Rattus norvegicus: one gene and its partner. The protein of the gene in region 2 interacts with the protein of the main gene of each other region in a biochemical or structural test. Links are inferred from orthologs where the notes say so. Each region holds a gene or a part of one and is shown on either strand. Other genes may lie near its edges.

Region 1 (3,646 bases), on a different chromosome or scaffold from region 2:
ACCTTAAGCTTAGCTGCCCGAGTGTAATATGGTGGCTCATGCTGGTAATTCCAGCACTCAGTAGGCTGAGGAAAGAGGAAGGAATTTGGTGCTGGTCTAGGCTACAGGGTCTAAAATCAATCAATCAATCAATCAATCAATCAATCAATCCAGAGAAATGGAAATAGTTTACAGTTTGTTTTCACAAGCCAGGATTAAAGGAGAGAGAGAGAGAGAGAGAGAGAGAGAGAGAGAGAGAGAGAGAGAGAGAGAAAGGGAAAGAAAGGGAAAGGAAAGGAAAGGAAAGGAAAGAAAGGAAAGGAAAGGAAAGGAAAGGAAAGGAAAGGAAAGGAAAGGAAGGGCTGGAGAGATGGCTCAGAGGTTAAGAGCTCCAACTGTTCTTCCAGAGGTCCTGAGTTCAAATCCCAGCACCCACATGATGGTTTACAACCATCTGTAATGGGATCTGATGCCCTCTTCTGCTGTGTCTGAAGACAGCGACAGTGTACTCATACATAAAATAAGTAAATAAATCTTAAAAAAAAAAGAAAGGAAAAGAAAGGAAGAAAGGAAAGAAGAAAGAAGCCAGGCAGTGGTGGAACAAAACTTTAGTCTCAGCACTCAGGAGGCAGAGGCCAGCCTGGTCTACAGAGCAAGTTCCAGGTCAGCCAGGGCTACAGAGAGAAACCCTGTCTTGAAAAACTGAAGGAAAAAAAAGGTTTGTATTTGCAACTCAGTCCTCTGAGTAGGCAAACTTGTTGGTGCCCAAGGAAGGACGGGACACATAAGAGAGAAGATCTCCGGCTGGAGAGATGGCTTAGTGGTTAAGAGCACTGACTGCCCTTCCAGAGGTCCTGAGTTCAAATCCCAGCAACCACATGGTGGCTCACAGCCATCTGTAATGAGATCTGATGCCCTCTTCTGGTGTGTCTGAAGACAGTGTGCTTATATATAATAAATAATTAATTTAAAAAAGAGAGAGAGAGATCTCTGTGGAACCTTTATGGTCTTCCCAGGAGGTGGCCTCCAGCCAGGCCTTTAAGGACAGGACCAGTTCTGACAGGTGAAAACTGAGGTAAGGTTCTGAGCCAAAACTGTGGACATGAACCCATTCCTGCCATGGTCCTCATCCTGGGCCTACCCAGTCAAGACGAGAACACTAGGCAATGACGTTGCCTGACTGCCATGCTTGGGTTTTACTCCAGGACGGACAACAGTTGCTTAACCCCCACAGCAGGCCTCCGTCTAGTCAGGACCATACTGCCTCCTGCTCAGCTTTAGAATCACTGTCTTCTGCTTGCTTGCTGTCACTGCTTGGGCAATGACCCAAGCTGTCCAAGAGACCTCGCCTTCAGCCTTGTCCCTGACGTCCAGGTAGCACACAACAGCCAGAGAGTCTCCTCCCAGTTCTGCTCAACTTCTGCAACCGACTGCTTAGAGCAGCAGTTCTCAAGCCGTGGGACATGAGCCCTCTGGGGGTGCTGGAGGACCCTTTCACAAGGGTCACATATCAGATATCCTGCATATCATGTATTTGCGTTACAGTTCGTAATGGTAGCAAAATCACCGTTGTGAAGTAACAATGAAATAATTTTATGGTTGGGGGGGTCACCATGAGGAACTGTGTTAAAAGGTGGCAGCATCAGGAAAAGTTGAGAATTGCTGGCTTAGAACCTAGGATGATGACTGCCTAGGAAGTACAATAGCATCAACATGGTGGCTCAGCAGGTAAAGGTGCCAGCCAGCAAGCGTGACCACTCAGGTTTGGTCTCTGGGACCTATGTGGTGGAAGGAAAGGACTTACTTCTCTAAGCTATTCTCTGATTTCCACACATGGCGTGCACACACACGCGTGCACACACACGCGTGCACACACACACACAATCGCACACACACAATGAGAGAGAGAGAGACAGAGACAGACAGAGACAGAGAGAACAGCAAAGGCCCCACAAAGTCTCCATGGACCGAAACCAGCAAGATTTTGCTCAGCGGGGAAAGGTGACTGCTGGTCACCCCAATGACCTGAACTTCCACAGCTTGTCCTCTGACACCCACGAGCCCCTCCCCCATAATAAATAAAATGTAAATTTTTTCGAAAGTTCCCACAGGCTTAGGGCTGCAAGCATTAGGAGGTATTGCTATGTCAGGCCTCGGTGTCCTCAGAATCCACTCAGCGCAGGACCCTAGCCTGGGGACACGCATTCTTGGCCTAGCTGCTACTTCTTCAGGAGATCTTTTGTTCTCTAGGCCTCAGTGTCCCCTTCGTGACCTCCTGGTCACACTGAGCAGCTCACCCATGTAGTGCCGCACCAGGTCCTGCACGGATTCGAACTGGGCCCGCGTGGTGATGTAGTAGCCACCCATGTCCAGCTTTCGGATCTTGTAATGCTTTATGTGGTCGCCTCTGTTCTGGTCCCAGTCACGGATGGACAGGGAGTAGGCACCTGGGTGGAAAGGGTCCGTTTAGTCCTCTTCCCCCTCAGACTTAGAGCAGGAAGAGGCCCCAAAGGCAGTTCCCAGAGTCCATCTTAGTTAGGTCCGCCTCTCCCGCTGTCCCAATGGCTGGTACCAACCCACCTTTGGTGGTCTCGCTTTCCCGAATGAGAAAGGCCCCTTGAGGGTTGCCATCGGAGAGAAGCTGCCTCTCTGCATCCTTTCTGCTGATCTTTCCGAAGTACCACCTGTTGGGAAGAGCAGGCAGAATCAGGCGCATCCTCTCTAAACAACAGTCCACCTTCCCATCTTCCCCGGGAAGTCACCGCACAAGCCGAGCCTCAGTTTCTCCATCTGACAAATGGACTGTTATAATCTGCTTCATGACTTGAGTATAGGATCCCAGAGAAGGGGAATGGAAAAGGGTCTGGCACACATGGTGGATACCTAAGATTCTCTTTTCTACTGGTGTCTCTTGAATTAAAATTGTTAGACTCGGGGCTGGGGATTTAGCTCAGTGGTAGAGCGCTTACCTAGGAAGCGCAAAGCCCTGGGTTCAGTCCCCAGCTCCGAAAAAAAAGAACCAAAAAAAAAAAAAAAAAATTGTTAGACTCTTCCTGGTGTGGTGGTATAATCCCAACAATCGGAGGCAGAGGCAGGTGCCCCTCTGAGTTTAAGGCTACCCTGGCCTACACAGCAAGTTCTAGGCCAGCCAGGGCTACATAATGAGACACTCCCTTAAAAACAAAAAGGGAGAGGACAGAGCATGGTGGTTCAGGCCTTTAACCCTTGCACTCAGGAGGCAGAGGCAGGTGAATCTCTGTGAGTTCAAGGCTAGCCTGGTCTACAGAATGAGTTCTAAGACAGCCAGAGAAACCCTTCTGTCTCTGAAAAACAAAAACAAAACAAAACAAAACAAAACAACAACAAAAAAAGCGAGCCTGGGGTTGGGGATTTAGCTCAGTGGTAGAGCGCTTGCCTAGCAAACGCAAGGCCCTAGGTTCGGTCCCCAGCTCCGAGAAAAAAATAAAAAAAAGCGAGCCTTAGAAGTCCAGACCCTTGGGCTGGAGAGATGGCTCAGCGGTTAAGAGCACCCGACTGCTCTTCCAGAGGTCATGAGTTCAATTCCCAGCAACCACATGGTGGCTCACAACCATCTGTAAAAGAGATCCGATGCCCTCTTCTAGTGTATCTGAAGACAGCTACAGTGTACTTATATATAATAAATAAA
Region 2 (4,327 bases):
GCTGCCATTGGTAAAGTGCCTTCTATGCTTTAGATTACACTAAGAGCTGGGGAAGTGTGTCTTATCTCGTGCCAGCTGCCTTTCTGTAGCACAGCCAAATTCTCACACTTGGTGTAAGGGCAGCAGAGGAGAGTTAAGAATGGCAGGTAACAGACAACAGGGTCAATGAGTCAGAGACCGGCCCAGGAGAGGCTATGACCACCCAGGCTGTGAATCACCACACTGTAGGCTTCCCTCCCTGGGGCCCTTCATCCTTCCACGGTCCCCAACATATTTCTGCTTCCTCCCTTGACCCCTCCCCACCCTCCCAGCGCATGCCTGCCCCAGTGTCTATTCATGCGCAGAGACCTTTTCAATCAAGCCACCTTTAATGAGATTTGCCTTATAAATTAAAACGTATCTGGCAAAGAACAAGAGTGAGGATCCATACTGGCCTCCCCAAAGTGTCCTCACTCTGACCAGTGGACCTCTCCCACAGGCCTAGTCAGTCCAGCAGCCTTGTTTCTTCTACTCCCACAACTTCCGGGGACTGGTCATCACTTGACTCCTCTGGTCCCCCGGCCCCTCCCACCCTCAGGTTTCTCTGATCTTCAGTGCCACCACCCCATGGACCTCCTATCAGCAACTGTCTCAGGTGGAACCCTCTGACTTGACCCCCACCCTGTCATTCCCTACTCTAGAGAGTCCACAGTCCCATCTCCCTGGGGTCCCACTTTTCTGGACCTGGCTGTACAGAGCTGTATCTGAGCCTTTGCTGCCACTGCCAGCTGTGGTACCAGATTCAGGAAGGATCAAGCCCTGTGGCTTGGGGGCAGGGGTAGGCTTTGAGCTCCGAGGGGGTGGCACAGCGTAGTCGTCGGTGGCGGGGTTGTAAGGGAGCTCATAGCCCTCTTCCTTCAGCCGAGCCTGGCACCACCATGCATCCTTAGGCTCCTGAGGCAGATCATAAAGGCCCCGGAGAGGGGCAGGGGCCAGGCCCTCAGGCTCATCATAGATGGGGTCCTCTTTGGAGTCTATCAGCTTGGTTTTCAGCAACTGCTGCTGCACGTGCCCATACAAATCCCAATAGAGAGGTTTCTTCCGCTGCACCCCTTCCCCTGCCCCAGCAGGGGTGCTGCCCAGGGGGTCTGAATACAAAGAGTCCTGAGAAGGGCCTGGAGGAATTCGCAGGGAGTCTAAAGGCTCTGCATATAGGGCTGGAGGGCTGCCCAGGGGTTCCTGGGGAACAGGAGTGGGAGCCATCTTCCCCTCTGTCTCCCCATCATGGGAGTCAGTTCTGGTGATATCTTGTCCCTGTCCCACCTTTCCTTGGGCTTTCTGCTGCTGGATAGCAGCCTCAACTGCCTGAAAGATGTCATTTCCCTGGGCAGTCTGGAAGGTGAAGGTCCCAGGGCCAGAGGGGCAGCGGCGACCCGCTTCAAAGGAGAACATTACCTGAGGGTGTGGAGGGAAACAGGTTAGGAGTGTCTAAAGAAATGAGTCACAGGTCTGACCAATTTAGTATATCTGCACAGAAGAGACTACCTGGGAATGGAGTTGTCACCTACAGCTACCCAACCCAGTAGCCCTCCCCGATGGTCATCCTCCCAGACAGCCCCATGCACCTTGTCTCGGCCATAGCGTCGCAACAGAGTGTAGGGCCAGAAAAGGAGCGGCTCCAGGATTTGACTCTGTGCACCCAAAGTCAGAAGGGTCAGCTTCTCAGCTTCTACCCTCAGTACGTAGGAGCCTTGCAAGCCGCAGCGTTCAGAAGCCTCGGTCTTCTGCGAGGTTACCCAGAATTGGGATCCTGGAAGAACACAGGAAGAGAAGGAGCGCCGGGGCAGGTTGGGGACTTGGTAGACTCCAATCACTATCTCCCCAAGGGCACCTCTTCACCCCACTCCATTTCTGCCAGACTAATACCTTCCCAGGTGGGGCTGTACAGCGAATTCTCCAGCATCTCCAGGGCAGAAAACTTAGGTGGGTTCTCCGTCTGAGCCAAAGCCCAGCCGCCTTTCTGCAGAAAAGAGAACATCGAGGACCATATACATAATTCTCTTGGGTCTAGGGTAGGTGCAAGAAGTCCAATGCCGTTATAGTAGTTTCATCCTCGCAGTGCCCCTTAGGCCCAGGGGTGACCACCCCCAGACACTCACCGGAAAAGCGGTTCTGCATAAAATCTGCACCCAGGCAGTGCTGGATGCGGCGTCCGCTGCAAGCAGGTGCGAGCGTTGTGCGGTGTCCAGGCGGAAGGCAGAGGCGCCGGGCTCAGGGGGACTCTCCACAGTCACAGGCACCACGCTCACACATTCAGCCAGGCGTATCATCTTGCAGTCTAGACGGCGAGAGCCGCCTCGACCCCCTCCAGAGCTCGACCCCTTGTGATCAAAGAATTCCAGCCGCGCCACGCCGTGAGGGCTGGCTGGGTAAAGCACAGCCCAAGTTTTCTTCCACCTCTGGGAAAGAACGAAAGACTCGAGAGTGAGCGGCAGCATGCGCCCTACAAGGGAGAAGAGACCCACGCAGGCCGATCTGAGTCTGGGGATTCCCAGGCTGGGCTACTTTCCCAAAGATAATGCCATCCCAAATCCGCACCAAGGAGGGCACAGCCCGAGACTTTCAAGGGAACGAACGTCTTAGGGGCTCTACGATTGCTCGCGCGCCGTTCCGACCTTCTTCCGGCCCATTCCCTCTTTCTGGATTCTTTCACCCATTTCTAGTCCAGGGGAGTTTTGCCATCCCCCCACGACACAAACAAACTACCTTGGTCCCGAAGCGCTGACTCTGCAGAAAAAGCGGACCCTCCATCAAAGCCCCGTCCATGGCCAAGGCGATTCCTTCCGCGCTTCCTGGCCCTGGGGGCGGGGCTGGGCGGGGCTGCAGGGTGCCGGAGGCGTGTCCGCCCCTCCCGGGCCCCTGCGGCGGTGATGCGGGGAGGGGGGGCGGGGACGGAGGGGTCGAAGGAAAACGAGCCGTCAGGAAGAACCCAAGGGGAGCCTTTATCTCACCGCACGCACAGTGGCACTACTCAGGGAAGTCGCGGTCACCAACTAAAGGCCCTAGTGCCTGGGGGTGGAAGCTGGGAGTGACGACATATATTTAACGTGACATCAGAGTGAAGGCCGTGACATCACCTGCAGGGACTTTGGGGTCGCCATAATGACCAAGAGGGCCCTCAGGACATTAGTTTTCTTTGTGGGACCTTGTTCCCATGGTCCAGCTCTGGAATTGGACTGGTCTGTTGATACTCTGTCTAGCTGGAGATGTGGAGAAACGGCTACGGGCTGAAAAGCTTCCTGCGGCCACAGGGGCCATCCTGCTGTCCCGAAACCATTTGCAAGTCCAGCATCCTGAACGCCGCTGCCTGGCCTCCCAACCTGCGGGAAAAGAAAGCTTCATTGAGCCCGGAGGAGTGGGAGGGGGTGGCGTGGCTGCAGCCAGCTCCACAGGGGAGGGGAAGATCTAGAGGAGGGAACTGGCCTGGCCCGAATGGAGGGAGAAAGCGGAATGTGGGAGGGCTCTAGAGGACGTAGGAGGGACCAACGAAGAGGGGGGAGGAAGGGGGGGTCCAGTCTCCCCTGGCCGAACACTTTTTTTCTGAGAAGTCCTGAAAGTAATCTCCAGGACCAGGACTCTGCTTCCAGCCTCTGGAGTTCTGCCTAGTCGAAGGTAGGGGAGTTACAGCCGGCCAGCGGGAAGAGGAGTTGTGGATGGAGAGGATGGTGGACCAGGGGAAAGGCTGATTTGGGATGGAGTCGGGGAAGCCAACCAACTGACAGTTTTATTCTTGCTAAAGGAGCGAAACAGCAAAGCAGAGAGCTGAGCGGATTGTTGGGGATGGAGACTTCAGGGTGCAGTTTGTAGGCCCTAAGCTGAACACCGGGCTTCGGAGCCAAATGCCCCCAGAACAAAGCTGTCTTGTCTGAGTTGGGGGAAGCAATTCAGGGCCCCCCTTACTGGGAAGGACTGTTTTCAGCCTTGGATACAGAAGGCCTGAGCTAAGGAGCTAGCCCTAGCTTCTGGTTGCCCAGTGACAGAAAGAGAGGTGTTACAGGGAGCTTGGATAACTCCACACCAAACCCTGCCCAGCTTGAAGTCTAGATCTCCTGGAGCCCCTGACTCTGCAGCATATTTGGGAGCCCATGTGCTAGGGAGGGTGGCAGAAGGTTCTCCTGCTCTGCTTAGCCTCAGCCCTTTCTGCCTGGGCATCTGCCTCCATAGGAAATTGCCAAGACTCCTCTCATTCCTAGTGCTGAGATCTCCAGGACAGGTCTCCTAGGCTCCCTTTTCCTGTGCTGCCATCGGAGTCTGTCTAACCGCATGGGTCTGCTGTCATTTCTCCTGT

What was found.
Region 1: the proteins of Dok1 (region 2) and Fgr form a complex in vitro, tested with the Homo sapiens proteins (2 studies listed by BioGRID, with this or other methods). The link is inferred for Rattus norvegicus from reciprocal best matches to the Homo sapiens genes DOK1 and FGR.

What each region holds. Positions count from the first base shown.
Region 1 is NC_086023.1:150,494,274-150,497,919, reverse strand, and holds part of Fgr (tyrosine-protein kinase Fgr), read right to left. Parts: intron 2,664-3,646; coding exon 2,560-2,663; intron 2,427-2,559; coding exon 2,277-2,426; intron 1-2,276. UniProt on the Homo sapiens protein: Non-receptor tyrosine-protein kinase that transmits signals from cell surface receptors devoid of kinase activity and contributes to the regulation of immune responses, including neutrophil, monocyte, macrophage and mast cell functions, cytoskeleton remodeling in response to extracellular stimuli, phagocytosis, cell adhesion and migration.
Region 2 is NC_086022.1:117,094,822-117,099,148, forward strand, and holds Dok1 (docking protein 1), read right to left. Parts: upstream 2,814-4,327; 5' UTR 2,806-2,813; coding exon 2,746-2,805; intron 2,727-2,745; exon of another isoform or gene 2,578-2,726; intron 2,483-2,577; exon of another isoform or gene 2,478-2,482; coding exon of another isoform or gene 2,439-2,477; coding exon 2,139-2,438; intron 2,000-2,138; coding exon 1,906-1,999; intron 1,790-1,905; coding exon 1,605-1,789; intron 1,435-1,604; coding exon 631-1,434; 3' UTR 350-630; downstream 1-349. UniProt on the Homo sapiens protein: DOK proteins are enzymatically inert adaptor or scaffolding proteins. They provide a docking platform for the assembly of multimolecular signaling complexes. DOK1 appears to be a negative regulator of the insulin signaling pathway.